4 linked regions of the Struthio camelus genome follow. The protein of the gene in region 3 purifies or fractionates together with the protein of the main gene of each other region. This does not show direct contact. Links are inferred from orthologs where the notes say so. Each region holds a gene or a part of one and is shown on either strand. Other genes may lie near its edges.

Region 1 (7,333 bases), on a different chromosome or scaffold from region 3:
GAAGAATCAACTAAAAGTGTTTTTTTTTTTTTCTTTTGCACATCAAATAGAATTAAAACAGTCTTTAACAAATAATTACATAACAATGTATTACCCTATGTATTGTAGCATGTAGGGAAATAGGGCAAGGTAGTACTTTATTGTAATAGCCATTTGTAGAATGACTTGGGATTGATCATGTGTTTATACACAAAGAAGAGGAAGTAGGTAGTATCAAGGAGAGACTAAGGGTATGGTATGCCGATGCAACACACCTCGCTTTTAATCAGATCTTTCCTTAAACGTATACTTAGCATCTCCTTTAACCCAGCTATTGACTTTCTGGTTTCCACAGTATCCAAATACAGCGTGCCCAGCAACATACCTAAAAGAGTACAGTATGAGCGTGCGTCCAAGCAGTAAATGAGATCACAGAGCACATTCTGACTTGCACTGGGGAGAGAGGAGAGAAGGGGAAAAATTCCACAAGCAGTCAAAAACCATGAGGACATATTTCCTCCTTTAAGGCCATTCTACAGGAACAGCGACCTTTACAAACGCTCCAGTGAAAGAAATACATAGAAATTGATTTATTTTTTAAAAGGATGAAGTGTTATTGTCCTCTGAAATATTTAGTGAATGAAGTGTGTCCAGGTTCATCAGGAATGCTGTCATCATGAATTCCCCTTCTCTTAAAGAAAGGGAAAGTCAAGCTTTTCAATTTCCCTGCTTAACAGAGTTCCCATCTTCTAGGAAAAGCCTGTCAGATTGAAATCGGGATCCTTCAACAAGTTAATTCAACTAGTTTCAGTACTTTCAGCGACAAGTATCACCCTGCCCAGGGACCCATCAGCAATACCCATCGTTTTACCATTCTTCTCCTGGTTTGTTTTACTCAAAGACACACTTCCCCTCCATTTCCTGCAAGGAAGGCCTGTAAAGAAGGTGAAACCAACTCTGCAGCAAGCTCAGAGGTCAGTCATGCAAAAAGTGCTGTCAACTCACAAACTAAGAGAAGAGAAAGATTTATACTGGCTTTCACTTACAGATGTTTTTCCCCTCCAAACTTTCTCTTCCACAACTAACATTAGAAGTATAAAACACACTTTACAGCAATTTATGATGCTTCTAGTACTAGCTTCATCCTCATCTATCTCCAGGTTATATGGAAGGCCACCCTTTACCAGCCCATTCCTAGCAAATGCACTGCAACTTATTTGTTACAGCTGTTCTCATACACTCTGCCTGATCTCCTAATGCATGGAAGAACAAACGTAACTGTATCTGAGGCTAGTCTTGATATTGACTGGGAGTGCAACCTTCAACTGTTTTTAAGTTATATATCTAAGCAATTGGTAAACAAACATATTAAGCCAACTTTTCAGACAACTGACATCAAATTCAGCATTCTTCACCGAGCAGAGATAAGAACTTGTTGAGAAGTCACATAACTATTTTCCCAGATAAAGATAACTGTGGAAAGCATTACTACATTTTACTCTCTAAGTTTAGATGCACATCTCACTAGCTTGTGGCTCCCCACAAAGATCCTTCTAACTCTTTCACTACTTTATTACGTCCCTTCTTTCATATTCTTAGTCTTTGTGCCCCCTTAGTCTCTTTTCACTGAAAGTGAAAAAAATTAAACATATTAACCTGTATTCTAATATTACAACACCTATTCTCCTCTCAGCCTCAAAGGCTTTCCAATTAACTGCAATTTGAGCTCTCCAAGGAGGGACAAACATCAGCTTATTAGCTTTTTACCAACCTGACTATAAACCACAAAAATCAGTGAAGCCATTTTTTCATTATTCTGTGCTTGACAGTTTCGGTATAAGGTATGAATGACCTACACCGTAGGTCAGAAGAAGATCATGCTATTATCCATTACTATGTATTACCTAATGTCCTGAACAGAGCCAAACCATCAGAAATTCAAGAAATAAGCATAAGGTTACACTGCATTCCTGGCAGGCCCTTTCCTTTTAATAGCACCCAAATGCTTCTGAGGTGGATGACAATCCCTAATATTCCAACACTCGATATCAGTGTCCAGACTGTCTCACACAGTAGCATATTGTTCCCACTAACAAAAGTACCAACCCAGTTTTTCCACAAAATTCAAGCATCACAGATAAGAAAATATGTTGTTGCACATCCTTTCAGCCAGCAACAGTTCCCACATTTCGGTAGACTAAAACCGCAAGTTTTCAGCACATTTGAATCGCGCTAGTTTGACAGAGACTAAAAGAAGAGGCATCACAGAAGAAAAAGCAAAGTTACCAGCAGCCACCACCACCTCTTTTGTGTTGCTCTTTTACACTTGAGCAAATGCAGCCCATTCGGCCAAAGTCCTTAAGCAAGACACACAAAAAACCCAGCTGGGGTAAACCCAGCGGCAACCGCCCGGCTGCAACACCCCCGAGGCCCCCGTTACAAGGTCTCCTGCCTTCGCTCCCTTTGTTTTGGTCACGGAGGAGCACCACCGGCCCCTCGCTCGCCTGCCACCGGCCGCCGCAGAGGCAGCTCCCGCCCCCTCTCCCCCCGCCCCGGCCTCCGGGGCCCCCGCGCAGGAGCGGGGCCCCTCGCACCCCTCCCCGCCGGCGGCCCGACCCCCGTGCCGGCGGCAGGATGCGGCCCGGGGGGCCGCAGCTGAGGGGCGCCCCCCTGCCCCGCACCTCCCCCGCCCCGCGCGGGGCCCGGCGACGCCGCCCCCCACGCCCTCCCCCCCGCCGCGGGGCCCGCCCGCCCCCCGCACCCCACCTCATTCGGTCTCTCCGGTGGTGCCAACCGCCTCATACAGGGAAATCAGCCAGCTCAGGAGCCCTCCCCCCGGCGCCCCGGCGCGGCCGGGCCCTCGGTGCGCAGCGGGACCCCCCCGAGCACGGACCCCGCGGCGAGGCGAGGGGACGGCGGCGGGGGAGGGGTCAGACCCGCTTCACAGACAGCCCGGCTCCACCGCAGCCCCTCGCCATTTTTGTTTCCCGCGGAGGAGAAGCTGGTGCATTGTGGGAGCACAAAGAGCCGCGGCCCCGCCCCGGCCGGGCCCCGCCTGCGCCGACAGGCAGCTCCCCGGCCAGGGGGCGGGGCGGCAGCCGCGCTGCGGCGGAAGGACACAGGTGAAGCCGAACCTTGCCCGCTGGTGAACAAAGAGGGACTACTTTAGGCGTGCTCGCTAAAGGGGGGGGAATATCCCTGCCCGCGGCCGGGACTCGTTACGGCAGCGCAGAGGGGTGCGCGCCGCCCCGCCAGCCTCCGCCTATTGTTCCCTCGTCGCACCTGTGGCGAGGCGGCGAGGTGCCGGCGGCGCGGCGCGGCGCAGTCCCGCGGGGACCCGCGCAGCCTGCCTGCCCGCCCGCACCGCTCTACCTGCCCCCGCCGCCCACCTGGGCTGCGGGCCGTGAGGCGGGAGCCGGCCCGTCCCCTCGGCGCCCCGCCGCGGCGGGGTCGGCCCGCGCGTCTAGAATGATCCAGGGAGGGCGGGAAGGGCCCTGGCCGGCCGGGGCAGCCGGCGTCGCGCCCCAGAGGGCAGCCAGGCGCCCGCGGTGTCCTCCCCGGCCCAGGTAGCAGGGGCTGCTCGGGGGGGGGGCCTGCTCACACCAAGGGCGTGAGGGTAGACAGTCTGAAGGAGAAGCTCCTCTGCAGTCGCAGTCTTCGAGATAACTGCCATTTTAGGAGCTGAGCTAAAGTTTAGTTTCTCTTTCTAGCAGCAGCTGTGTTAGCGAACTGGAATAGGCTTTTCAGTTTTCATCATCACCAGCAGCTTGTTTTTATGAAGAGTTCCTTAGGCTTAGCGCAGCCTCAGCAGCAGCTCTGATTAAATGCAGCAGTTGTACAGTGACACACAATAGAAAGTTTGCCCCAGTCCCATAGGGGCAGTTCCTTGGCACAGTTCAGACCTCTAAGCAGTAGTGGAAATGCAAGTATTTACTAGATGGGATCTCGCACGGGCAGTCTGGCCTGTTCACTCTGCCTTAACGTGTTGGCTGAGCTTCCACAGAAAGATCAGCCATTGGAAACGACACTGGATCTGTTTGCAGACCCTCTCTGACTCCCTTTGGCCCCCTGACGTCTCCAGGGGTGCAGTACAGTAGCTTGCCAGCCTCCCTGGGTCAGTGGTCCCCAGGAGGGTAATCCCTGGGTGCGCATGGTCCTGAGGACAGCAGGACGTGGAGGCAGCTTGTCACCCAAAAGAGGACCAAAGAGAGTGATGTTTAAAGCAGATGAGTCTGAAAGAGCTGTCATTTTTACACCTTAATCTGGCCGACTCTGAGGGGTGTCAAAGTAAAACAGTAAAACCTGAATCTCTTCATGATGGCAATTGTTTAAAATACAGGTTTTAGGGAATAATTCCCTAAAATTCCCTTTGGATGTACTAACTAGCCACTGCTCGGCCCATGATCATGATGGCCTCTAGATCTGTGAAGAACAGGCTTGCACAGCACAATTGCCATGGCCTGCTCTTCACGTATTTTGAGATACTGCTAGCAGCAGTTAGGTACCACTAGTACTAAAGGCAAGGGGTCACCGGCGTGAGAAAAAAAGTTGCACTTACTCAAGCTGAGAAAAACACACGTGCAAGTATTTAACTTTTAGTTATACTGATAATAGTAGGTGAGAACCAGTGTTAAACCAGTTAAAAAGTAAGATTTTTTTTTATCAGCCATAGGATGAACATGACTAAACATCAATAATTGGCTCCCTCACAACTTACTTTTTTACAGTCCCCCTTGGAGGGTCTTACCAACCTGTTTCTGCTGTCTTTTTGAAATTGCTTAAATCAGAACTTCTCAGAGTGCGATCTCCCGGTGTAAATTGTTTAGCTCGCCACCAGCACCCCCTTAAAAAAAAATAAAAAACCTCCTTGATCAGAAAGACACATGTAGCTCTACCCTCCTTTTCCTTGGAATATTGTTCCCTGAAACCGTTTTCATAACTAGCATAAAGGCACAGAGCTGCATGGCCACACCCTAAACATAAAACACCACTTGTCACAGAGCTAGGAGTTGCTGCTGGAATAGCATTACCTTTATCTGAGGGCAGCGCTAAAAGAAACTAAGAATCCCCACAGTAAATAAGGATGATTAAAGTTTGATACACTGATTAGTTTTCTATTAGGGGGATTGAACTAGTTAGTCCAGAACTTTGCTCCCAAAGCTTGTTACTATTAGCTTTATTACTATAAACAACAGACCATATCAATATTATCCCCACAAATTTGATTCCATATAATATTTTTCTCTCAGAATTTCTGTGAAGCACAGTATGGGCTCCCAGCCAAATCCTAAATAAAGCCATGTTAACCTCTCTTTCCTTTTAAGGTCGGCTCTTACTGATAGCTGGAAAAATTCCAACCTATGCACCTCACACAGACACCCCCTCTTCCATCACAGTAATTTAGTAACTAGTTTTTACACAGTTTAGCAGGTCACTGAATCACCATCCTACAGGAAGCTCCTTTCTAGAGCCATCACCATGCAAGTCTTATTCACCTGATGCGTTTACTAGACCAAGTAAATCAAATGTTTGAGAAATACCTAAACATAGATGACTAAATTCAGCTACTTCTACTCTTGGAGAGTAAATATGCACTGGAACAGTCACTTTTATAGTTCTTTTGCCCAACCTGATGAGGTAATTACAGGGTTGGGAATCTTATTGCAAATGTGCAAATGATTCTTTTATAAATGGTTTTCAAATTGAAATGCTTAAATCAGCAAATGCTGAAACCTATAGTTGCAGCAGAAAGGATCCTGATTATCACTGGCATATGTGGGGCAAAGAAGGAACAGCAAAAGTAAAAGTCAGCCTACTTTAGACACTCTATACAATTCCAATTATCGAGAGACATGTATCATTAACCTGATTTTGAGCAAACTAGAATCTTCGTCTGCTTTCTGCTCAGCACTAGTAGTAAAGCAACTAGTTATTTCTTCTGTTAAGATCCAATAAGACTATATATGATGACTTTAGAATGGACTTTCCTGTTTTGTTTTCTTTTTTGCCTTTTGATAATGCCTTGAAAGTATTTGCACATACAGTTTAAGCACTCTCTGCTATTGTGTTTTCAATTCCAGACGTATTACATATATACTTTTTGTCACAGCATGGCCAAGGCCAAATTAAATTACTTCTCCTCAAATGTCGGTAAGAGCTCTCTTGTGTAGGAGTTCCAGGAAAAAAAAAAGACTTTGATTATAAGGTTCTGCATAATAATAAATACGTTCAGCTTTCTTCCACCTCCTTTCACAAATAGCTCTGTTTTCAAAGGGGGTTAAAGAATACTGACCTGACACGTCTCTCCCTTAGTGTTTATTTTTGTCCACATATTGTTTGGTACATTTTTGCCACAAAGATGAATAATAGCAAAGTCTTTACTTTTTGAAATTGTATCTTGCCTTGCTGGCACAAGAGAGACAATTTAAATTTCATGTTCAAAATGTAAATTTTCTGTAACCAGTAAAGCTGGATAAATTTAAATAATGTTTAAATACAGACTCAGAAATAGTGGCATGTCCCTTAGCCAACAGCCCTTCTCTCAAATGTTAGTATATCGTTTTAAAGCAGGTGTTATGTTTATACACTTTCTTAGCAAGAATTCTATAAACAAATAATAAAAGTAAGCAAATCAAAACAGAAAACCCATACACTTAAGTCAACAGTGTATGTAGATGAGAGCACCAACTGCTGTAGAGTATTATTTTCCATTGCCTTATTGTATCACCCAATGTAACGTCAAAATGATAACCTCGAACAAGACAATACTGTAAAGCTTATCCTTGTACAGATGGTTGTCATGACCACAATTCAGTAAGGAGGGAAAATTAGATCCCAGGCCACTTTCTCAGTATTGTTTGAGCATGGGAACAGCAAGGAAGCTCACCTGAGATCTTCCTATGTTCAATCAAGTTGAATATGGTACATCTACTTTTACGTAAACATAATAATTAGTGAGACAGTGCACTTATGCTGTATTTATTATTCTAGGACTCAGAAAAGGATCTTCAATTTCAAAATATAAAAAATAGGTGAGTGCTGTTATAAGATATGAAGAAATTAGTATTAATTGCCTTATAACCAGATAACAATTGTTATCATAAAATTGCAGTAATTATTCTCGCTCTATCCTAAGGATATAAAAATATTTGTGAAAACAGAACAAAATAGATATCTTAAAATATTTTTCTAGATAGGTAAGATTTTGCATTCTTGTATATCAACATTACAGAAGAAAATACATTAGTGCTACTGGATGCTGACCACATTGCCATTGGTCTTCACAGAGAAACATTTTTTTTTCTAGTAAAAGCACTTTATATACTTAAGATGCTTGAAAAAATGCTTAAAAGAA
Region 2 (7,634 bases), on a different chromosome or scaffold from region 3:
CGGCTGGACGTGGCTGGCAGCCGCGTAGACATCCCGGATGATGGGGTTCAGCTTGCTGCTCTCCATGAGCCTCGGCAGCCCTGGGAGGGGAGCACGCGCTCGTCACCCGCCGCCACCGCCGCTGCCCTGCGTCCCGCGGGGTTCGGCCGGGGTGTAACGAGCCCGTTGTTCGCCCGAGCTGCCCACCGGGCGCCGCGCAGGCTGCGTGCTTGGGGGTCCAGAGCTTTAAATCTGATGTTAAATTTCATGCATAATTTCCATGCAATTTCCCCGAAGGGCACGAGAGCCCCGTCGGGGCAGGGAAGCGGGAGCGCTCCAAACAGCGCGTGAAACGGAGCAGCCGAGTTTCGCTGCCGCAAAGGCTTGAAGCGCGAGAGGCAAACAAACCGCCCTCCCTCGACAGCGCCCCGGCCGCAGCTCGCCTCGGGACCGCCGGCAAACGCGACAGAACAACCCAAAAGTTACTTTCCCCCCCGCCGAGGAGCGTCCCTCTGATGGCGACACGCACGACTTCATGCCACGCATCGCAACACGGGACCGCACGGCGTCTCGAGCAGGACGAGCTGCCTGCGGCCGGAGCGCGCGATTAACAACCTTCACCTTCCCCGGGGATGACCTGGCCGCTTTTAAGAAGCCCACCCGTTAAACGGACCGCGCACCAGGCCGGCAGGCAAAACAAAAAAAGGGGGAAAAAAGAAAGAAGGGGGGGGGAAGGGGGGGATGCTCAGCGGAGCTGGCGGGAGCGGCTCGGCCAGCCGCGCCTCGGCCAACGCTTCTCCCGGCGCCGGCAGAGCCTGCGGCCGCCCAGGCGGGCTCGGCGCACGCCGCGGGCGCCTCCGGCGGGGCAGGCGGCGGCGGCGCGCAGGGCGCCGCGGGGCATCGCCGCCGGCCCGGTTCGGCTCGGCTCGGCTCGGTTCGGCCCGGCCCGGTTCGGCTCGGCTCAGCCCGGCCCGGTTCGGCTCGGTTCGGCTCAGCCCGGCCCGGTTCGGTTCGGCTCAGCCTGGCCCGGCCCGGTTCGGTTCGGCCCGGCGCACACGGCACCGCGCTCCGGTGCTTTCGGGCAGTGCCCGGCGCCGGCGGCACCTGCCGGGCGGCCGCCCCGGGGCAGCGCCGCCGCCGCCGCCGCCATTGGCTCATTCAAAGGCGCCGCCGCGGCGCCGTCCCGGGAACCGCGCGCCGCCCCGCGCCGCCCCGGCGGGCTGCGGCTCCGCGGGAAGCGCGGGCAGCGGCCGCCCCCGCCCCGCCGCCGCCGCCGCCGCCGCCGCCGCCCCTTACCGCCCGCCGCCGCCGCGCTCTCCCCGCGCCGCCGCCGCCGCCGCCGCCGCCGCCGCGCCGGGCCGGGTCAGGGCCCGCCCGCCCGGGGGCCGCCGGGGCCGCGGCGCGGCGGGGGCAGGGCGCGGGGCGCCATCTTCCCGCGCTTCCCGGGCCGCCCCCGTCCCGCTCGGGCAGCGAGCGCCGCCGCCGCCCCCGGCCGCCCCGCGCCGCCCCCGGCCGCCGCCGCCCCGCGCCGCTCGGTGTGCTGCACCCGGCTCGGCCCGGCCCGCGCGCGCTCACACACACACTCGCGCTCGCACGCATGGTAGCTGGGGGCGGGCGGGATCTGCGGCTGCCCCGCGTGGGGCCCCGGCAGCTGCCTCCCCCCCCCCAGCCCGCGCGTGGGGTGTCTGCAAACTGCCCCATGCACGGTATCTGCAAACCGCCCCGCGTGGGGCACCTGCAAACTGCCCTCGTGGGGTGTCTGCAACTGCCCCCCCTGGGGGTCGTCCCCAAAACTGCCCCGCGTGGGGTGTCTGCAACCGCCTCCCCTGCGGGTTGTCCCCAAGACTGCCCCGCGTGGGGTGTCTGCAACCGCCTCCCCTGGGGGTTGTCCCCAAGACTGCCCCGCGTGGGGTGTCTGCAACCGCCTCCCCTGGGGGTTGTCCCCAAGACTGCCCCGCGTGGGGTGTCTGCAATGGGCCCCCCGGGCGTCATCCCAAAGACTGCCCCGCGTGGGGTATTTGCAACCATCCCCCCTGCGGGTCACCCCACCAGCTGCCCCGCGCAGGGTGTCTGCAACCGTCCCCCGTGGGGTACCCACAGCTGCCCCCCGGGGTACGCTCCGCTCCGGGGCACCTGCGAGGGCCCCGCACCCCCCGCGGCTGGCAGGGCCCTGGCATGCGGCACCCCGGCTCCCGCGCGGGCAGCAAGTGGCGTCGCTGGGGGCTCCCGGGGCCGGGGCGACCCGCTGTGCCGCGCCGTGCCGTGCTGCACCGTGCTGCACTGCGCCGTGCCGTGCCGAGCCGTGCCGAGCCGTGCCATGCCGAGCCGTGCTGCACCGCACCGTGCCGTGCTGTGCCATGCTGAGCCGTGCTGCACCGCGCCATGCCATGCCGTGCTGCACCGTGCTGTGCTACACCGTGCTGCACCGCGCCATGCCATGCCGTGCTGCACCGTGCTGTGCTACACCGTGCTGCACCGCGCCATGCCATGCCGTGCTGCACCGCGCTGTGCTGTGCTACACCGTGCTGCACCGCGCCATGCCGTGCCGTGCTGAGCCGTGCTGCACCGCGCCATGCTGAGCCGTGCTGCACCGTGCCATGCTGCGCCGTGCCGTGCTGTGCCATGCCGGGCTGTGCTGCACCGCGCCGTGCCATGCCGTGCCATGCCAAGCCGTGCTGCACCACGCCATGCCGTGCTGCACCGTGCCGTGCTGCACCGCGCCGTGCCGTGCTGCACTGTGCCATGCCGTGCTGTGCCATGCCGAGCTGTGCTGCACCGCACCGAGCCGTGTTGCACCGTGCCGTGCCGTGCCATGCCGAGCCGTGCTGCACTGCGCCGAGCCGTGCTGCACCGTGCCGAGCCGTGCTGCACCAGGCCGTGCCGCGCCATGCCAGGCCGAGCCGTGCTGCACCGCGCCGTGCCGTGCCGCGCCGTGCCAGGCCGAGCCATGCTGCGCCGCGCGCGGGAACAACCTGTGCTCCTCGGCATTCCTAGAAACGGGGGGATTTTTCTCTGAATCTCAACAGAGAGAATCAATCACTGCAAAAATGCTCTGCTCAGTGCCAAGGAGAAGTCTGAAGGATTTGCTATTTGTTCGAAAGCGCTGCCAAAACAGAAATGTTTGCAGGCCTGCTCAGCCGGCGGGCCGGCTGACTGCCGGTGGCGGGCCGGCGCCGGGCGCGCTCGCGGTCTGTCGGCGCTTTATCGGCTGTGGTCGATGAGCCCGGCGGCAGGACCGTGCCGCCTCGGCCCCCGGACCGGCTGCTCCCTAGCTCACCTGTGAAAGAGCGGGCGCTGCCAGCGAGCGTTAAAAATGAATGGCGCAGGGGTAAAAATGCCTTTTACATGTTTCTGTATGATTCTGCCGTCTCCGAATCCCTTTGTGTCACCGCAGCGGCCCCGCAGGCTGCGGCTCTCCCCGGCAGCCGCCCCCGGGGCCGGCGGCGGCGCTGCGCGCGGCTCCCTGCAGCCTTTTGCACGTTACGGATCGTTTCGGACACGCTAACAACTACTTTCCAAAAGTAAAACAGCAAAGCTACGCTGTCTCAAAACTAAATATCCTGCCAGCAGCATCGCAGGCCACAAAATATCCTGGCAGAGAGCGGTATCGAAGAAGGGGGCGAGACGAAGCGCAAGGCTCTCAGCGGTCAATCACACGTGAAAGGCAGCGGGTGTGAAAGCTCCCGGCTCCGAGATGCGGCGCGTGAGCAGGGCGCGCGGACGCCGCCACGCACCACCTGAAACCCGGCGTCCCGTTTTGCAAGCCGTGGGCAGCTGCCGCGCTCCTGCCCTGCTGAGGGCCCGGGGACGCCGTCAGCAAGCCGTCCGTCCGCTGCCCTGGCAGCCTGGCGAGCAGGCGCGGAGTGACCGAGGGCGCTCGGCTTGCCGAAACGCTGATCGTTTCCCGCCGCTCGCCCGAGCGCGAGGAACAGGGCTTCCCGGAGCCGGGGGCACGAAGGCTGTTTTTCTCCCTTGCTTCTCGTTTCTCTCTGTGTATGAAGCTAAAGCCCCCAGGCTGTGCTGTGCCGTGCTGTGCCCTGCCGTGCCGTGCTGTGCCATGCTGTGCTGTGCCCTGCCGTGCCGTGCTGTGCCATGCCGTGCTGTGCTGTGCCATGCTGTGCCGTGCCGTGCTGTGCCGTGCTGTGCCATGACCTGCCGTGCCGTGCTGTGCCGTGCTGTGCCGTGCTGTGCTGTGCCATGCTGTGCCGTGCCGTGCCGTGCTGTGCCGTGCTGTGCCATGCTGTGCCATGCCCTGCTGTGCTGTGCCCTGCCGTGCTGTGCTGTGCCATGCTGTGCCGTGCTGTGCCGTGCTGTGCCCTGCCGTGCTGTGCCATGACCTGCCGTGCCATGCTGTGCTGTGCCCTGCCATGTCATGCTGTGCCGTGCTGTGCCATGCTGTGCTGTGCCATGCTGTGCCATGCTGTGCCGTGCTGTGCCGTGCTGTGCTGTGCCATGCTGTGCCGTGCTGTGCCATGACCTGCCGTGCCATGCTGTGCTGTGCCCTGCCATGCCATGCTGTGCCGTGCTGTGCCGTGCTGTGCCATGCTGTGCTGTGCCATGCTGTGCCGTGCTGTGCCGTGCTGTGCCGTGCTGTGCTGTGCCATGACCTGCCGTGCCATGCTGTGCCGTGCTGTGCCATGCCCTGCTGTGCTGTGCCCTGCCGTGCCATGCTGTGTCATGCCGTGCCGTGCTGTGCCATGACCTGCCGTGCCATGCTGTGCCGTGCCGTGCCGTGCTGTGCCGAGCTGTGCCCTGCCGTGCTGTGCCATGACCTGCCGTGCCATGCTGTGCTGTGCCCTGCCATGCCATGCTGTGCCGTGCTGTGCCGTGCTGTGCCGTTCCATGCCGTGCTGTTCCCTGCCATGCCATGCTGTTTCCTGCTGTGCCGTGCCCTGCCGTGCCGTGCCGTGGCGTGCCCTGCCGTGCTATTCCGTGCTGTTCCCTGCCCTGCTGTGCTGTGCCCTGCCATGCCATGCCGTGCTGTGCTGTGCTGTTCCCTGCCATGCCCTGCTGTGCCGTGCCATGCCGTGCCGTGCTGTGCTGTGCTGTGCTGTGCCATGCCGTACAATGCTATGCTGTGCCATGCCCTGCCGCATTATGTATGCCGTGCCATGCTGTGCTGTGCCCTGCCGTGCCATGCTGTTCTGTGCTGTTATGTATGCTGTGCCATACTGTGCTGTGCCGTGCCCTGCCGTGCCGTGTTGTGTGCTGTGCCGTGCCGTGCCATGCCGTGCCGTGCTGTGCCGTGCCGTGCTGTGTGTATTGTGCCATGCTGTGCTGGGCCCAGCCATGCCCTGCCGTGTTACGTGTGCCGTGCTGTGCCGTGCCGTGCCGTGCCGTGCCGTGCCGTGCTGTGCGTGCCGTGCCATGCCGTGTGTGCTGTGCTGTGCCGTGCTGGACCCAGCCATGCCCTGCCGTGTTACGTGTGTCGTGCCGTGCCAGCCGCACCCAGGGGCCGCATCCTGCTGCCCGCCTGCCGGGAGCGGGCGCCCGAGCAGGCCCACCCCGAGAGCACGCAGCGCCGGGGCAGGCGCGCCGGGCGCAGGTCGCGGGCAGAGGTTTGCCCGGCGGGCTGGGGGGTGCAGAACGCCGCTCATTCCCTCGGCATGAAACACTCGTCCTCCGGGTTCACGGGGAACCTGACGCATCTTCAAAACACTCAAACGGCCAAAATTTGCGGTGAGTCATGATATGTGAGTCACAGCAGGACTAAAATAACTCTTGCACCATCGTTCGCCTGGTGGACAGAGACGGCCGCTGGCTCTGCGGCGTTTCCCTGCGCTAGTCCGGACCAAAAGCAACTTACTCATGGCTCCCGCGCTCGCTCGGCGCTGCGGCGCCGGGTCCGGCTCGGGCCGGCGGGGACGCCCCAGGCCGCGCGCGCCCGGGGCTCTGGGGCGCCTTCGGCCTCCCCAGCTAGAAGGAGCCCTGGGCGGCCCCGGCGCCCTCCGGAGCTGCAGGAGATGCTGCCCGGCTCCAGGCGCTGCGAGGGCTGAGCCGGCGCCGGCCCCGCTGCCCCGGCAGCCCCACGGCGGTGGCTCCCGTGCAGCGGTGGCTCCGGCGCAGCGGTGGCTCTGGCACAGCAGTGGCTCCGGTGCAGTAGTGGCTCCGGCGCAGCGGTGGCTCCGGTGCAGCGGTGGCTCCGGTGCAGTGGTGGCTCTGGCGCAGCAGTGGCTCTGGTGTGGCGGTGGCTCCCGTGCAGCGGTGGCTCCGGCGCAGCGGTGGCTCCGGCATGGCGGTGGCTCTGGTGCAGCAGTGGCTCTGGCACGGTGGTGGCTCCGGTGCAGCGGTGGCTCCCGTGCAGCGGTGGCTCCGATGCAGCAGTGGCTCCCGTGCAGCGGTGGCTCCCGTGCAGCGGTGGCTCCGGCGCGGCGGTGGCTCCCGTGCAGCGATGGCTCTGGCACGGTGGTGGCTCCGGCGCGGCAGTGGCTCTGGCACAGTGGTGGCTCCGGTGCAGCGGTGGCTCCGGCGTGGCGGTGGCTCCCGTGCAGCGGTGGCTCTGGCACAGCGGTGGCTCCGGCGCGGCGGTGGCTCTGGCACGGTGGTGGCTCCCGTGCAGCGGTGGCTCTGGCGCGGCGGTGGCTCCCGTGCAGCGGTGGCTCCGGCGGGCTGCGCCGATGGCCAGCCCGCGGCTCGGCTCACTCCCGCACCTTGCAGAGCGGCTCGCTACCGCCGTTTCCACCATAGTTTTTCCTCTGCTGAACAAGGGTTTAGAAGCCTCATGCCTTCTCTGGGTTTTTTCAGCCGGGTTAAGCTGATTCAGGAAAAGCTGGATGATCTTTCCCCACTGACCTTTCCATGGTTATTTATTTAGACCGTCCCAGCTACATAAGCGCCGTTATTCTCTGCTCACCTAGCCATTAACCGTGGAGCAAACAGCCCCGGTTTAGCGCTCTAGGACTCTCCTCGACGTTTCTGCACCGTTCGATTTGGCCCCGAGGAAGCAAAATTCATTGCAGATGTTACTTTCCGCAGCAGAAGTCGCTCGCTGGATTAGTCAAACCTTGCTGTCGCTGCGATTTCAGCGCGGCGGGCGGCGAGGGGGCTCCGGCGGCGGCGGCGGCGGCGGCGTGGCACCGCCGCGGGCCGGGGCAGCGCTCCGAGCACGGCCATGCCCCCGAGGGCGCCCCGGAGCGGAGGTATGGTTGCGGTCACAGCTGGGGTAGTTAAATCCGACGCTCATCTGCTTTATGCCAGCTGTGCCTTTAAAAGGAAGAGCGTTCAGGCATTGGATTTCATGTCTTTTTGCTGTTTGTTTAATATGAATTTAATCCACATCCATTTCTTTTTCAACCTAACTTTCTTTGCGTGCTTCTGTGCAATTGCGTAAGACATGAAGAGCTTGTAAGCGGTCCCGCAGCTGTGCAAGGTTTGTATTAATGTGGCCGTTACATAATTTTGACACCGATACGTTATGTACACGTCTGCAGTTCCCGAGCAAGGCTCAGAAAAGCCATTTCCAACGAGGAAAAAAGAAAAGCCCCTTTTGTACCTGGGGAAAAAGTCACTCGAGGATGTTTGGGCTCCTTACCCGGGTGTAGCCCTCCAGTAAGCCAATGCCCACCACTGTCATCGTAAGTCCGTGCGGGCGAGGAGGAAGCGGCCAGGTCTGGCGGGTGGGGAAGGGGCGCTCGCCGCTCTGCTCTCTGCCCAGC
Region 3 (7,599 bases):
TTTTCAGCACTAACAGCTAGTTGATTCAACATAAAGTACCTGAAAAAGATCCAACAACAAAAATGTATGAAAAACTAAACTTATTTCAGATTTTCTACCAGTTGAAGAAGAGGGCAGCAGCCTGAGCACTGCCTCTAACTTTATTTAATTTACCTCATTTTTACAGGAGAGTTTCCTTTAGAATATTTATTAGTCAGAAAACAATGATAAGGCTACTTCTCACAGTTTCATTTTCTTTAATAAAGATAAAAACAAATAAGAAGTTAGGTTAGTTAATAGCAAACTAAAATTTCAATAGAAATAATTAGGTTTCCAATACATATCTTTCAACCAATACAGCAACTGGACAAAAAACTAATGCAGTACATATTTTTGTCAGACAGCTGGCAAAAGGAAAAGATAAATCTTTACTAGAGTGCTGAATCACTTTGCGTATGCAAATCTGTAACTTTTCAAGGTATTTTTCCCTTCAAAAATAAAGATCTTTTTCTATATCCTTGCAGTTTTAGGACTTAGAAAAACAAAAATCAGATACAACATGTAATTACTAAATACCTCGTAAGGAATTATCATTTGAATGATAAAACTTCTTAATTCCCACCATTATTCTCTTCCAGAACATTTCAACATTTGCTATTTTTAGAAAAACACTGTTTTAGAAATACAAATGATACGTTTAACTGTTTGTCCACTTCGGGGTGACAGGGAACAGATGGGTAGATGACAACTGCATTATTCAATATTAAACATCAAACCAAAACAGGCACTAACTAATGTACTGAAATCTCACTTCAGTTTGAGTGACATCAGCAAAATACTATGCAGCAGGTAGTGTAACCATTTATTTTTACCTGGATATTTGCACGTAAAAATAGCTTTAACTATATTTACAGGTATGAGTAAGACTATTGGATCAAAAATAAATAAAACATTTTAAAAAACCAAACATCAGAACAGCAACAAAAAGTTTGAAGCTTGATTTTGATACGTCCTTTGCAAGTCACAATTAATCATGAATTTCCACATCCCTTACACAAGACCAAGCCTGATTATTTGTCAGGAGAAAGTAAAGATTTAGCCATACAGCTTACATTTTAAATTCATACGTTCAAATTTCTCTTTTCACACTCATTAATAGAATGCCATAGGATACATTTTGTCTAATTTATTTGAAAAGATACAACTCCCACACAAATTCCAAACAACCTCTGTTGCCTAACAGCTCCATCCCCTAAAATTTAAGGACTTTTTGATATCCTTGATAAACCTGGCAGAAAGAGTGCTGGGAGCACTTACAGCATGCCTACACAGGCAAAATAATTTAGGGTGTGAATTTAAAGTGCAGTGGCAATTCTACCCTAACTTGTTTTTATGGACACACCTATTTTACTCTAAAACAGCCAAAGGTTCTTTAGCTCAATCCACACAGAAACAAAAACCCCACACTCCACACGGAAAAAGTAAACAACAAAAAAAAAACCCTGCCACGCAACAATTGCTTTTCCATACTTATTTCCTTGCACAGGGAAAAATCCCAAATTTTGAAAGATATTACACTTCCATGTATGCAGAAACCTCATACACAATTTATTGCAAAACAGTCTGAAAAAATTTTGGAGCTTAACAGGTGTTTGGTAGATTTGCCAATGATCTGAAAAAGTCAGCAATGAGCTTCTAATGATGAAAGCAACCAAATTAGTTATTCAGTCAATGCTCATTTTAAAGCTCTCAGAATAACTGAGTCTAATGCACAGCATCCATATCTCCCTAAAAAGTATATGAGGATTAACCCAACAGCACATTGCTCTTTCCTTACAAGAAGTATTTTTTTCTTTACAAGCTGTATTTAATCTAAAGAGGCTACTTTTCCAGAAGCTTGATTTAAAGGGGAAAATTAATGAGAAACTGTTAATCTTAAAAAAAGAAAAATCATCTAGTGAAAAAACTCTGCTCCCTTAGGCTATGGAAGAGAACTATGGATAGTTCCAAGGCTTTGGGAAAAAATTATGCCTCCCAATTTCAAGGCAGCATTTGAACACCAGTGGTGGTTACATAAACCATTTTACTTTCAAGTGTAAAACAGCTTCTGTCAATTTCCTCTTCCAAGAGTTGAACAGTAGATTTAACTTTGCAGTAAACACATTAGTAATACCCACTAGAAATACAGCACAAACTGGTGGATGCATAGCTGGAAGAAGTTATCGTGAAGGATAGATTTTAAGCTGTGCCCAATTACAAACTGTATCATAAAAATCAGAGAAAGCATAACCTTAAGATTTTAATCCATCTGATATAGTTTAGTTATGCCTGCAAGTCAGGTATCTGCAACACGTCTGCCTGATTTCTTACAGAAAAAAGTAATCCAAGTCCCAGCCCTAATTTTTTCTTAATCTTACTAATAAAAATGAGATCGGACATCTACACACTGGAAATATAAAGCTTGCCAGGTCCACTTGTGCTAAGAAACGTGGAAAGGAAACTAGCTAGCATTAAAAAAAAAAAAAAAGAAAAAAAGTATGAGTAGTTAAGATTTGAGTTTCCTTCCTTTCAAATAATTTTTTTCTTTAAATTACATCAGATGGCTTTGGGATTTAAATTGAACATGCAGACTGTGAAACAGAGAATGCATGGTACGGAAAAGCTGAACCAACCACGTAAAAGAAAAATGAGAGAAGGAGTCAGATGCAACACAAACTGACAAGGGAAACAGGCCTGGCTCTAGATTTAAAGAGAGGGGGGGAAAAAAGGACAAACATTGCATACAGTCCTGAAAAGACTTTTTTTTTTCCAGCCCAGGCTGTGGACTGTAACTTTTACTACTTTGCTTGCATAATTACACACACAACATTAGTTAAACAAGCACCATATTTATATATATATATATATAAAAGTAGCAAATTCTGAAATACTTCTACAATTGCATATTAATAAAGTCATTAGTTGCATTCAGAAAGATGGCAGTACATTCTCTGTCACTTTTACCTCATTTGTTAACGAAATCATATACATCCAAAGTAGGTGCTTTGACAGTACTACTATGTGACATTTTCAAGCAGTTGACAGCACTGCACTGATCCAGTCACATCATTACATTATTTTTCATCTGCAGCCTTTAGAATATGCACCATATCTGACTAGATTTCCAAGTGGTCTTGAGCCAGAGACTTCCCACCTTAAAAGCACTACCATTAGAAAGGAAGCACAGTACACATTATAAATTTTTACAAGACAGTGTTATTCACAAATTGAGCAGAGATGCAATTACTTAAACATCCTATACGCACACTTTAGCTGGGCAACCAAAACATTCCCAAAAATTAGAGTTTGACTTTTTTTTTTTAAGTATATTTTTCCTGGACATAGGAAGAACATCTAACAGACATCATCTTCTCTGAAAATATATATATTTTTTACAATAATCTATTTACAAATCTATGGCTAAATAATTCTTATGTTTTTCAGAATTCCTTTATCTTCCACCTTTTTTTAAAAGGAGCTTAATTTGGCTATATTATATGCAAGTGATACTCTTACTCATCACTCAGATACTTCAGAGTAACCCCTACCCAAGTTTACTAATGTTACTTTATTTTTTTAATCCAAAACACATATTCCAATTGTAACACTGGGTTAGTTTTTCAGTTTCACCAAGTACTCAGAACTCAAGTCCACAGTTTGACAGATCTTAGTGGAGATCTAGGTGTACAACCAGAACAAGTCTTTAACAATCAAAATATCTCCTGTTATCAGTTACAGAAAACAGCATTGCCACTACTGTCTTAAAGGAAAACAACTGCACAGTTTTTTGCTTGGACCTTGGTAGACCCTACTCTCCCTCCACCCCCACCTCAACAAATTTCAGTCTTTAGTTTCACCTTATCTGTGAGCAGTGACACACTGAGTCATTCTAAAGTCTTCAAGTGATTTCCATGAGGACAGGTAGAACATCTGCTTAATAATTCTAAACACTGTTTTCCTTTTAATCTTTAGCTTAGCAAAACTCTTGGGTATATACTTAGAGCTAAAAAAACAAACCCAAGCACGTTAACTTGGAACCAGCATCTTTGTTGTTCCCCTGCAAAATGCCTCTCCCTGTTCTGCATCCTTTTCATATAAGGTTTTTCTTCTTCTCATCTTTCCTCCTCCAGACATATCCCCTTACCTGAAGTTATCATTTGAACTACATCAGCATTGGAGTAACTTTGTCGATTTAAAAACTAATTTGGTTATTCTAGAACATCTGTACAAGTTACACATAGATACTAAACGCCACTTCAATTAGACATCATTTCAATGAGCCTGGCACCACTCCACAGAGTTTTCTGACAGGATGAACAGAAGGTTGGTAGCAAAATTACCATTAAAATAATCCTCCTAGTACTGTCTTACAGCTAGCTTCTTTTTACTTTGGTCCTGCTTCCAAAGGTAGGTGCTATTCAAGCACCTAATGTAACCCTTAAGAATTACATTCATAGTATGCAGACTACACCCATTCCTTTCACATTTTTAAAATCTGGTAAACTGTATTTTGCTTAGACAGGTAACTCTAACAATGACCTACCTGACTCAGCGAACTTTCAAATTTTCCTTGCTTAGCAAAGGCCAAGCAAGGAAAATCCAAGCAAAGGCAAATCTTGTTCCTGAGATTTCCAGCATCTCTGTTGGGGACAATTTTATTCCTCCTAAAATTTCACAGATGCTTCTGCTCGACTCAGTTACACTGCATCTATAAATGCTAACTACAGATACCACACAACATTCATATTATAGCCTCCACTAAAGTTTCCCACAGTGCTTTCACTTGAGTACAATACAAAGCAAACATTTATTAGATATGCCTTGTCAGTATTGTTGCCATTTTTAAAATTAAAACCTTCTCTGTTCAGTCATATGGCATTTAAAATTGTCATCCAATTCTAACTTTAAAATTGAGAATTTATTAAAATGTATACAAGATATATGCAGCTAAAGAAGTAGAATCTTCTTGTAAATGTAAACATTTCTTGTAAAAATAACAGAGTTTTTTGACTAATTACAAAAGGAATTTTTTAAGGCACCAACTTTTCTGGGAACATTTTTGGAGCGCACTAGACGCTAGATGTAGTTTATTCTGACGTAAGCTGCTTTACAAAAAGTGACGTTTAGCCTGCACTCACAACATATGCAGTTGGTGCCTTTGCTAACGCACTAGCAAAGTTCTCCTCTCTCTAAGCCAAAGTCTCTTTGCAGATAAGCAGAAGTGCATGATCATACTTACATTGCACCTTTGAATGCTGCAATGTTATAGAACAAACATAATTCTATTCTGGCATGCAATCTTCAACAAAATCACTAACCATATTTCAGCTTGGTGGCAATTCTAGCAAAAGGGAAAAAATCCAGCTTGAATTTCAAGTCTCTGGCCTAAGTTTACACACCATCACTTTAGTTCATTGTAAATTCAGCAAACATGTTTTATGACCTTTTGACAATACGAATTTTCAGTGTCTATCACTTTTGAGGATCAAGTTGCATATTAAAAAAAACAACTGCCCTGTGTTTTTTCCAAATTTTGTCCTAAATTAGAATCTTGAATTGTTTTAAAATTTCAGAACAAAATAGCTGTCATCACCTCATGGAACATTTTACTGTCACAGTTCTCCCCATGTGCCGTTTAACTTTTAATTTCCTTCTTCACGTAAATGAAGGAAAAAATGTATTTTTCTCTCTTTTTTTTTAAACTCTGGAACAAGAAATATAACCCTTTTGATGTAAGAAGCTTAAAAGAAACCAAGTAGCAAAGCATTAGATCTTGAAGTTAAAGACACTCAAGACACCACACAAAACTTTCTAGCCATATCTCCTAAAACACTGGAAGCATGCTTTCTGAAGGTCTCTACCGGCCTTAAACATTCACATTTTAAGGGGCTAAACTGAGAGTAGTTATTGTACACTGGGCTGAAATAATACTCACCCTCCTGAAGATGCTTTATTGTTACTGCAAATAACATTACCTGGACTCTCAATCTGATATAGACAGTGAGGACAAACATCGAATGACCTTTTAATTTTTACAAATCACATCAAGAATCTGAACGGGCCAATCCCTTAAAAAAAACAAAGAAACAAACAAAAAAACCCACACTATCTACAAGGTAATCCTAAGAAGTGAAACCTGCACTGGGAAAACTCTTCACTGAAATATATATTCGGTAAGAATCAAACTCATAATAGTTGGAACTACAGTTGCTAGACTTACACAAGGTTGTTCAATTGTTACAAGATAGATTCGTCCTTGTGTAAAACTGTTGTACAGTTTTCTTAAAGAGACCAAGGATCTAAACTTCCAACTTCCTAGTTAAACTCTTCTCTAGCTCCAATAAGGATAGTGTTTCATAACTTAGAGAAAGTACTTCAAGCAAAGTACCAGTTAATTATTCTATTCCCACTGCACATATCCACCGACTGCTTTTCTTTCGGTGCTACTAATAATTTTTCAATCACCACGAATACCTGTTAATGTCAAATACATAAGCCAGGTGCCACAATGCACCGATTTCTTCATCTTCACCTAACCACACATTTTTTGCAGAGGGGCAGCTCTGTCCAGTACCCTCCTTCACACCTTCCCAAACACCCTGGTTTCTGAAAGCGCTCTGTACACCCGTGCTTGACAGCCTTAGAGCTAAAAATCGCAATTTCCAGCTCCCCACAAACTTTCTTGCAGCGCTCTGGAAAACAAGAGCCAAACGGTGCCCTTCGCCGTTAGGAAGTTCACTCGAGTTGCCGGTCTGGCAGGTTCCCCCCCGCCCCTTAAATAGTTTTTCTTCCTGAACTAAGAATTTTCAAAGGCAAAGGGGGGGGGGGGGGAAGGGGGAGGAAGAAAGGAAACACCTATGGGGAAAAGAGTGCCCAAACAAGCACAAGTTTATAGGACGAGTGCGCGGAGATGCACAAGCCGGAGGGCGCCGGGCTCGGCTCGCCGGGCAGCAGCTTCCGGGAGACGAGGAGCCCACGCGGCTGAAGCGGACCTGTCCCAACCCCTCGGCGGGGACGGCGGGAGGCAGGCAGGGAGGGAGGAATACTCCGCTCGCCCACCTCTCTCGGGGGAGGAGTGGGGGGGGGGGGCGCGGATTTCTCCGCGGGTGTCAATCAGCCGCTCTGAAGCCTTGCTGGACACGCTGAAAAATCCACGCATCCTTCAACAACACTGCGCCCAACGCCGCCAGGCAAGCAGCCGGCTCTGCTCCACGCCGCCTCTCCCGCGCAGCGCGGCGCCTCGGGCCGCCCCCCGCCCGCCCCCCCTCCCGCCGCCGCCGCCGCCCCCCGGGCCGCCTCTCGCCGACCTGCGGCCGGGCTGCGCGGAGCCAACTTAGACAAAGGGCACTTACAGACTCCATGCCGCTCCCCTCCAGCTGTCACCGGCCGGCGCGCTCGCCACCCCACGCCGGCCACCGGCTCCCCCCCCCGCGCCCCGTCCCGGCCCGCCCCGCGGAGGCTGCCCGGCGGCAGCCACCGCCCCCCCCCAACCCCCCTCCCCGCCGCCCGCTCCCTCCTCCCCTCCCCCCATTACAAAGGGAGCCGGTTATAAATAGCCGCTCCCGGCGCCAGCGCCTGAAG
Region 4 (6,988 bases), on a different chromosome or scaffold from region 3:
TAACCACAAACAGTTTAATTTCATTCCTTTCATTTTCCAAACTCCTGGCAGATTTGCAGTGGTGATAGATGTGCAGCAGTGCCTATTAATGTAATTGCTGTACAGCTAATAGTGTCTTTTAGAGTAGCTCTTATTTGCGGTGTTTTAATTCAATTTGTTATTTAACCGGAAGTCATCTAAAGTATATTAGTAGAAAAAGTTATGGTTACACAAGCAAGCAACAAAAGGCGTGTCACCTTAGAGATTTGACAAAAATCTGTAATTAAACTGTTCTTTACTAACTTCATAAGCATGTTAATAATTAGTTGTCTTTACAATTCAGATTTCCGTACTGGCTGGGGGAGGATTTGTATGTGTTACTGTGCGTTTGTCCGTACCTTGGTGTTTAGCAGATTAGTAACCTCTGTCAGGAGCTGCTTTGCGCTACTAGCTGCTTTTAAATTAAGGTCTTTGTAGTCAGGCTGCGTGTTCAGACTCTTAGGGTTTTATGCATTCCTGAGTATCATCTTCCTGTTAATTTGGAAGTCTTCCTCTTCTTTTCTTCTTGATCAGTTTTTCCATCCTACTTTTAAAACTTTGGAACTTTTAGTCTTCCTTTCTACTTTTGACAAGAGTTTTTTTTTTTTTTTAATTATGCCTACCCTCCATACTTGTAAGTCTAATGGTTTTCTTCGTTTTCACCTCTAGTTGAGCCTTTTCCTTTGAGTGTGGCAGAGATTTTGATAGCTTTCTGCTGTTTTACAGCATGGTTCTGTTCACTTGGAGATAAACAGCTTCCGATTAAAATCTCTGATTGAAGAGTTCACTCCTTGTGAGACTGCACTCTTGCAGTGGTATAGGGTCCACTGTAACTTCAAGTAAGTAACATTTAATAATGAAATTATGGATGGAATAGAGCTAGAGTTGGGAATTTTGTTGAGAAGTGAATGGTCTATTTAGAAGCCTTTGGGTCTGTAAAAAGTACTTGGTATCTCATTCGGGGATAACTCATTAAGGTTATCCAAAAATACTACTACAGTGTTGCAGGTTGTATGCAGCTGCAAGACTGATTTCCCCCTCCTTCCCCCCAAGCTCTGATGTAGAGACAACAATCATTAAGGTTTCGTGTTTCTATTATGGAACTCAGGTTTTGGCTCGGAATATTTTTGTGACAATTTTTTTTACCTTTTGTGACTGAAATATTTGGGATTGGTACTCTCTTTCAAGTTAACTTCTTTAAAATTTGAACAAAAATTATTCTCTCTTGATGATAGCAAAGGCAGAGCTTCTCAGAAGTCGGGGAAATGAAAAAGCTAAAACAGTAACCAGGAAGGGAAGAGAAGCAATTTTTGGCTGGAGACAAACACCATTTTCATCTTTCATGATACTGATACTGGGCACATGAGTATCTCAGCGCTCCTCCCTGACCAAGGGTTGATGACCTCTGGATGGAGGTGGTATTTTCTCTTTTCGTCTTGCTAAGCTTTCTCTCTCATGTTCTCCACCTGAACAGTATGATCTTACCTGGAAGTTTTAGCCTGATTATAAAAAGAAGGTGTTGAAGGTGGTGGAACAACTCCCCTTGAATGCCTGACCCCTTCCTCAGCCTTTTATGCCACTTTTCTTTCGAATGTAAAGTCCATCAGTGATTCTCCACCTGTAGTTTTGTTTGCGTGCTTTGCGGGGGAGAGGAATAAGTGCTAAACGGGGAAGGTGGAGTATAGCTTGCTTCCCACCCTTACCTACTGGCCACACCATGCAGATCGTACTGCATCATCAGAAGCAACTGCAGAGGAGGCGAGAGGGCAGAAGCTGAGGCTGGGCAGATTAAAACTGGACATAAGCCTAGGATAACTTTATGCTGACATACTACAGGGGACTAAATGAATACTTACTATAATGTGGTACTGCATATATTTAAAACTTAAGGTATGGGTGGAGATGCAAGAAGAAACGCTGTGTCTCTGAAAGCAGAGAAGAGCCTTAGGCAAAGGAACTGGGTTTTTCACCTGTCATGAGGGATGACAACAAGCAGTGGGGAAACATGTCAGTAACATTTTTATTAGCTGAAAATTTCTGTTCTAGGAAAACTGAAATTCATTATTCTGAGTAGTTTTGGCAGAAATGAAATGACACAATGTTTCAGAAATGCGAGAGCAAACTATTTTAATTCCAAAAATTTCAAAGGATGTTGGTAATAAAATCCAGTGAAATGTTACAATAATCATAGCAGAGAGCACCTCCTTTTAGGTTGTTAATGCAGACATATCTGCAAATGCAACTGATTGACAGGAGCAGATTTGTAGAGCAAATCGTTGATGTGGGGCACCCAGTGTTCCCACTGTATGCGGTTTGGGGAACTTTTGCTTTAGACCAGCTCTAGTCTGGTCCTTTGGCCTCAGCCTCTGTTAGCAGTGGGAATGCAATAGGGGTGCTGTGGAAACTCATCTTCCTGTTCTGCTTCATCCCCAAATATTCCCATTTTGTGCACTCCAGGCTGCTTCCGAGATGTGAACTCGGGTCAGTGGTTCATGGCACGGTAAGAGGTGGGCACGATGGGATTTGCTTCAAAGGGGCGCTCCTCTTCTGAACTGAATGCGAGCGTAGATGCCCCTAGGGAGTCCCGGTCTGAAGCAGGGTGCTGTAGCTTGGGGTGGCTCCAAGACGGGAGCAGACAGTACGTTGGGTCTCAGGAAAGATGCTACAAGCTTTGTCTGGTTCAAGGAGCCAGAAAAAGAGGGAAGGTGACTTTAGTGCAGTGGTGTTTGCTCTAGCACCCGCTTCTGTGAATATTCATGTCTTTTTACTTGAAACAGAACATCTCCCGCAGGAGGGGGTCAGTGTGACGGACCTGAAAAGAGCACCGTTTGATGTGAGACCTGCTCTTTCGGAGCACTGGCGTCTTGCTTGCATTTTCTTTTGGAACATGTCATGGTGATACTGTTATATTTTAAGGAGCCTTCACGACCTCGCCGAGGGTAGGTGGTGTTTGCCAACGTTAATTCAAGCAACAGCCAACGGCCTTCTTGCAACGTGCCCCAAGCCGTAGAGAGGAGAAGCTAGGCTGTAACTCCAGCAACGCAGCAGGAGGATGTATGATCTCTAATACAATTTCCAAGCGCTTTGGAAGTAACATCACGATTTTTATTGATTTCTTTTAATTACAAGCCACCACGGGTAAAAGCAGCAGCAGCAGCAGCAGCGCAGCAGGGCGGCTGTGGTGCTCCTCAGCCCGGGCGCTGGGGAGAGCCCAGGAGCACACGCAGCTCGCTCTCTCTTCTCTCCTCAGCTCCCTTTTACTCCCTTTTCCGAGCGCGGCCCTGGCTCCCGCCTTGTCCCCTGCGGCAACGCTGGGGGCGCGGTGGGAGGTTGAACGGTTTGGGGACGCTGTAGGTTTCGTTTCCGGTGGGAAATGTATCGTGGACTAGTCATGAGAAAGTTTAGAGCTGCCTTCCCGCCCTCCGGTACCGGGGTACCAGGGCGGCGGACACCGCTCCGGCAGCGCTACCCCGTGCCGGGCCGGGGGCGAACAACCAACCGCCCGCCCGCCCGTTACCGGCTCATGACGTCAGGCCGCGCGGGGACCTTCCTCACCCCCCCCCCTTCCGCCCACGGAGGAGAACAAGGCGGCAGTGACGCCACAGGGCGCCCGCCCCACCCACCCGCCATCTAATCACCCAATCAGCAGCGCGCCCGGGGTGGTGGTGGCGGGGGGGAGAGGGAAGCCGGCGCTCGCGGAGCGCGCACGCGCGCGTCGCTCCTCCTCCGCCGCGCGCCCCACGCTGGCGGCGCGGCTCTCGCGAGAGCGGGGAGCCGGCTCGGTTCCTGGTTGGTGGGCGCCCGCCGAGCGAGCCGGCGGCAGCGCTGACGGGCCTCGGCCGCCGCCGCGCACCGGGCCCCGCGCGCGCCCCCGCCGCCCCCCCCCCCCCGCGCGCCCCGCGCCGGCCTCAGGCGGCCGCGCCGCCGCCCGCCTCCCTCGTGCGCAGCTCCCGGCGGAGCTTTGTCTGCGGGCGGGATCATGTCCGCCGGGCAGCAGCAGCAGCAGCAGCAGGGGCCGCCGCCGCCACCGGGCGAGCCACCCGCCCCGCCGCCGCCGCTGCCGCCGCCCCCGGCGGGCGCCAACAGCAGCGAGGCCGCGGCGGCAGCTCCGGCGGCCGGGGCCGACGCCGAGATGGAGGTCAGGCGCTTTCGGCCGGCGGGGGGACCCCGGCGACGCGGGGAGGGGTGGGGGGGGCGGCAGGTGCCCGCCACGAGGCCGGCGGCGGCGGCGGCGGACAATGGGGCGGCGGCGCGGCCGTTACTCGCTTCGGGAAGCGCGGTGGGCGGCGGGGCGACCTCCCCGGGCGGCCTGCGGCCCCCCGGCGAGCAGCCCTTGTGCTGCTCTGCCTCCTCGGCCCTGCGCTGCCGCGCCGGGAGGAGCGAGCCCGTTACTGCCCTGAAAAAGCACCGGTGTTTTCCGCGCTCGGCCGTAGCTCCGGACTTTGCGTGCGCGGGGCGGGGGTTTGCTTGGAATAAGTAAATAGCTTTACTCATTTGTTTCTCTGCTTTTTTTTTTTTTGGCGGCAGGTGGTTATTCCAGAAATTTCAAGGGGTTTTGAGTGTGATCGCCTGGAGATGCTAATTTTATCGCAGCATTGTTCCTTTAACGATGTGAGGAAACTGGTTGGTCCAGCTCTTAGTGCTGGGTGTTTTGTACTCTGAGTCATGCTGTACAGTCCAACCTACCTCATTTAAAGCAGTTTGCTAATGCTTTTTTTTTTTTTTTTTGGTTCAGATGAGCAAGGAACTAAAGCACTATGGGTAAAAAGTCCTGCTTGAACCTGTAAAAATAAGGCAATTTCAGGCTAGGCTTCGTGCGTGGAAGCTGTGAAATGCACGCTTTTGATGCTTTCGTGTGAGGGTTCTTCCTGTATTTGCAGAGTTAATCCCCCTTTTACCTGAGGAAGGGGTTGCCGTGCATAAACTGAAGTTTCAGTTTAAATGGCTTCTTGGTAGCCCTAATCAGCTAAGAGGTTGTTTTTCTCACTGTTCAGCTAAATTGGAAGTTTTTGTTGTCTTTATAGCACATGAAGAGTTCAGATGGCTTGTTACTGCTATTCATGTGTTTTTACAGTATTTCAAGTGTTTGGTGTTTCAGGAGAAACATGAATTTTGTAGAGGAGTTCAAACAGTTCGGTCCTTCTTGTGCTCAGTGTAAGACGAGTATTAGATAAACGCGTCGGGAGATGAGTGAGAAAATTTCTGGAAGATCTTTAGCCATAATTTTTTACGTTGAGTTCTTTATCTTTTGACTGGCACACGAGACGTTTGTGTGGAGGTTCTTGTGTTTTCACATGCCTTACCTGCTAGAGTTTCCGGAGGTGACACCCCTCCATGAGCAGCCCATGTTTTGCTTCCCTTTGTTTCAAGTTGTTTGCTTGTTCTGATCAGCTAGCAAAGGTTGCATTTAGCTGAATTGTCAGTTTGCTCAAATAAACAGATGTCTAATAATAATTTGGTGGGCATCTCATTCGTTTCCTCTTTTCACCCTTTCAAGAAGTATTTTGTAAAGCACTGTCTTGCCGTGGTTGAGTGGTGAGGTTGTCCCATTGTTTTTGCTGCTAAGAACAGGAGAAGGTGAAATTAAACGTGGGAGATGATGGAGAAAGAGTTAACTTTAAAAAAAAAAAAAAAAAAAGAGGAGAGAAGGACAAAAAAAAATCCTGACCCGAATGGGTAGTTGAAGGTGCTGTGCTACAGAGTGGGCAGGAAAGGGGATGAGGAAGGACTGCCAAAAAACAAACCCTAAAACTTGTTTTTCTGCTATCAGTAATACTGTTGGTGGTAACAGTAATACTGTTGGTGGTAACAACAGTTACTTGATTTAGTAAACAAGAGAGGGAAGAAAGTACAGCTTCTTTAACATGCTGCCCTGCTTCCAGGACAAAACTGTAATTCAAACTCTTTGTGTAGAGTTGTTCACCGGGTACAGAGTGATGTAGGATTGGGGTAATCTGGAAAGAAACTTGAAACTGCTGTTGCTTCAGGAGCAGAGCTAGTTCTTTCACAGTACTTTCTAGAGGCAGCTTCAGGAGGGCTTTGTCTCAGCACCCTGGAAGTGGCCTGCTGAGCTCCTGGACCACAGCTGGCTCTCTTGTTTCCATTCATGTGATGCTACAATGATGGGGCTGAGTTGGATTATAGAGAGCTAGCTCTGTCCCCCCTTCTGCGGTAGGGATCACTGATGCATGGCCTAGTTAATTTTACAGCATATAATAGAAACGTGATTATACCAAAGAAACAGAAGGTGGATGTGCTCTCCGATGTGTATAGGTAGCAATTTGTAATGAGCTTATTCGCCTTTATGTGAGTATCTTGTAAGCATTGTTAGAAAATAAGTTGTTTCTAATTCTTTTTCCCCTCAGGAATCTTTCGATGATGCATCACCAGGAAAACAAAAAGAAATCCCAGAAGCAGATCCTACATATGAAGAGAAAATGGTATGTAACGTTTGGGAATGCGTACATCTATCCAGCACTTAACGCAGTTGCTTAAAACATAGAGTTCAGCTCTTTTGAAATCTGTTAATTGGATTTATAGGTCTTTGTCTAGTCTTTCAAAAAACATTTAAGTAATTTGAAACCAAAACAGTTAAAATAGAAAATCTCTTTTCCTTTTTAGTGTTTTGTTCTCTGTTCTTCTGTTGCTTCTCTACTTCCGTTGCAGTGATACGTTGATATAACTGGTGATGTGTTTTGTTGGTTCTAGTAAGTGTGGACCTAGGAGTTTTGCAGCGCTCTAGATTTAGGAAGAATGGGATAATGGGAAGTATTCAGACATCCTCGGGGAAAAAAACATAATAGGAATTGTGCTGTCGCTTTTGGAGTTGTCTGTAGAGTAAGTCCTTCCTGGGGGTAAGGAGGATTATGAAGAGCTGAATATTCACTCTCTTGGTCGGAAATCGAAAGATCATCTAGAAAAGGGTCTGTCCTAACTGGCTACTACCTTACTTTCTTAATGTACAGAATCA

The links.
Region 1: the proteins of EZH2 (region 3) and MTF2 purify together in Homo sapiens (affinity purification with mass spectrometry; 10 studies listed by BioGRID and IntAct, with this or other methods). This does not show direct contact. The link is inferred for Struthio camelus from reciprocal best matches to the Homo sapiens genes EZH2 and MTF2.
Region 2: the proteins of EZH2 (region 3) and PHF19 purify together in Homo sapiens (affinity purification with mass spectrometry; 10 studies listed by BioGRID and IntAct, counting the BioPlex papers as one, with this or other methods). This does not show direct contact. The link is inferred for Struthio camelus from reciprocal best matches to the Homo sapiens genes EZH2 and PHF19.
Region 4: the proteins of EZH2 (region 3) and SMARCA5 purify together in Homo sapiens (affinity purification with mass spectrometry, with the first as the bait; 3 studies listed by BioGRID). This does not show direct contact. The link is inferred for Struthio camelus from reciprocal best matches to the Homo sapiens genes EZH2 and SMARCA5.

Annotation. Positions count from the first base shown.
Region 1 is NC_090949.1:18,605,087-18,612,419, forward strand, and holds the start of MTF2 (metal-response element-binding transcription factor 2), read right to left. Parts: upstream 3,020-7,333; 5' UTR 2,751-3,019; coding exon 2,746-2,750; intron 1-2,745. UniProt on the Homo sapiens protein: Polycomb group (PcG) protein that specifically binds histone H3 trimethylated at 'Lys-36' (H3K36me3) and recruits the PRC2 complex, thus enhancing PRC2 H3K27me3 methylation activity.
Region 2 is NC_090961.1:3,054,565-3,062,198, reverse strand, and holds the start of PHF19 (PHD finger protein 19), read right to left. Parts: upstream 3,012-7,634; 5' UTR 2,968-3,011; coding exon 2,952-2,967; intron 1,327-2,951; exon of another isoform or gene 1,276-1,326; intron 81-1,275; coding exon 1-80.
Region 3 is NC_090943.1:62,688,333-62,695,931, forward strand, and holds the start of EZH2 (histone-lysine N-methyltransferase EZH2), read right to left. Parts: upstream 3,003-7,599; 5' UTR 2,988-3,002; coding exon 2,983-2,987; intron 1-2,982. UniProt on the Homo sapiens protein: Polycomb group (PcG) protein. Catalytic subunit of the PRC2/EED-EZH2 complex, which methylates 'Lys-9' (H3K9me) and 'Lys-27' (H3K27me) of histone H3, leading to transcriptional repression of the affected target gene.
Region 4 is NC_090945.1:34,085,272-34,092,259, forward strand, and holds the start of SMARCA5 (SWI/SNF-related matrix-associated actin-dependent regulator of chromatin subfamily A member 5), read left to right. Parts: upstream 1-3,974; 5' UTR 3,975-3,997; coding exon 3,998-4,156; intron 4,157-6,383; coding exon 6,384-6,458; intron 6,459-6,988. UniProt on the Homo sapiens protein: ATPase that possesses intrinsic ATP-dependent nucleosome-remodeling activity.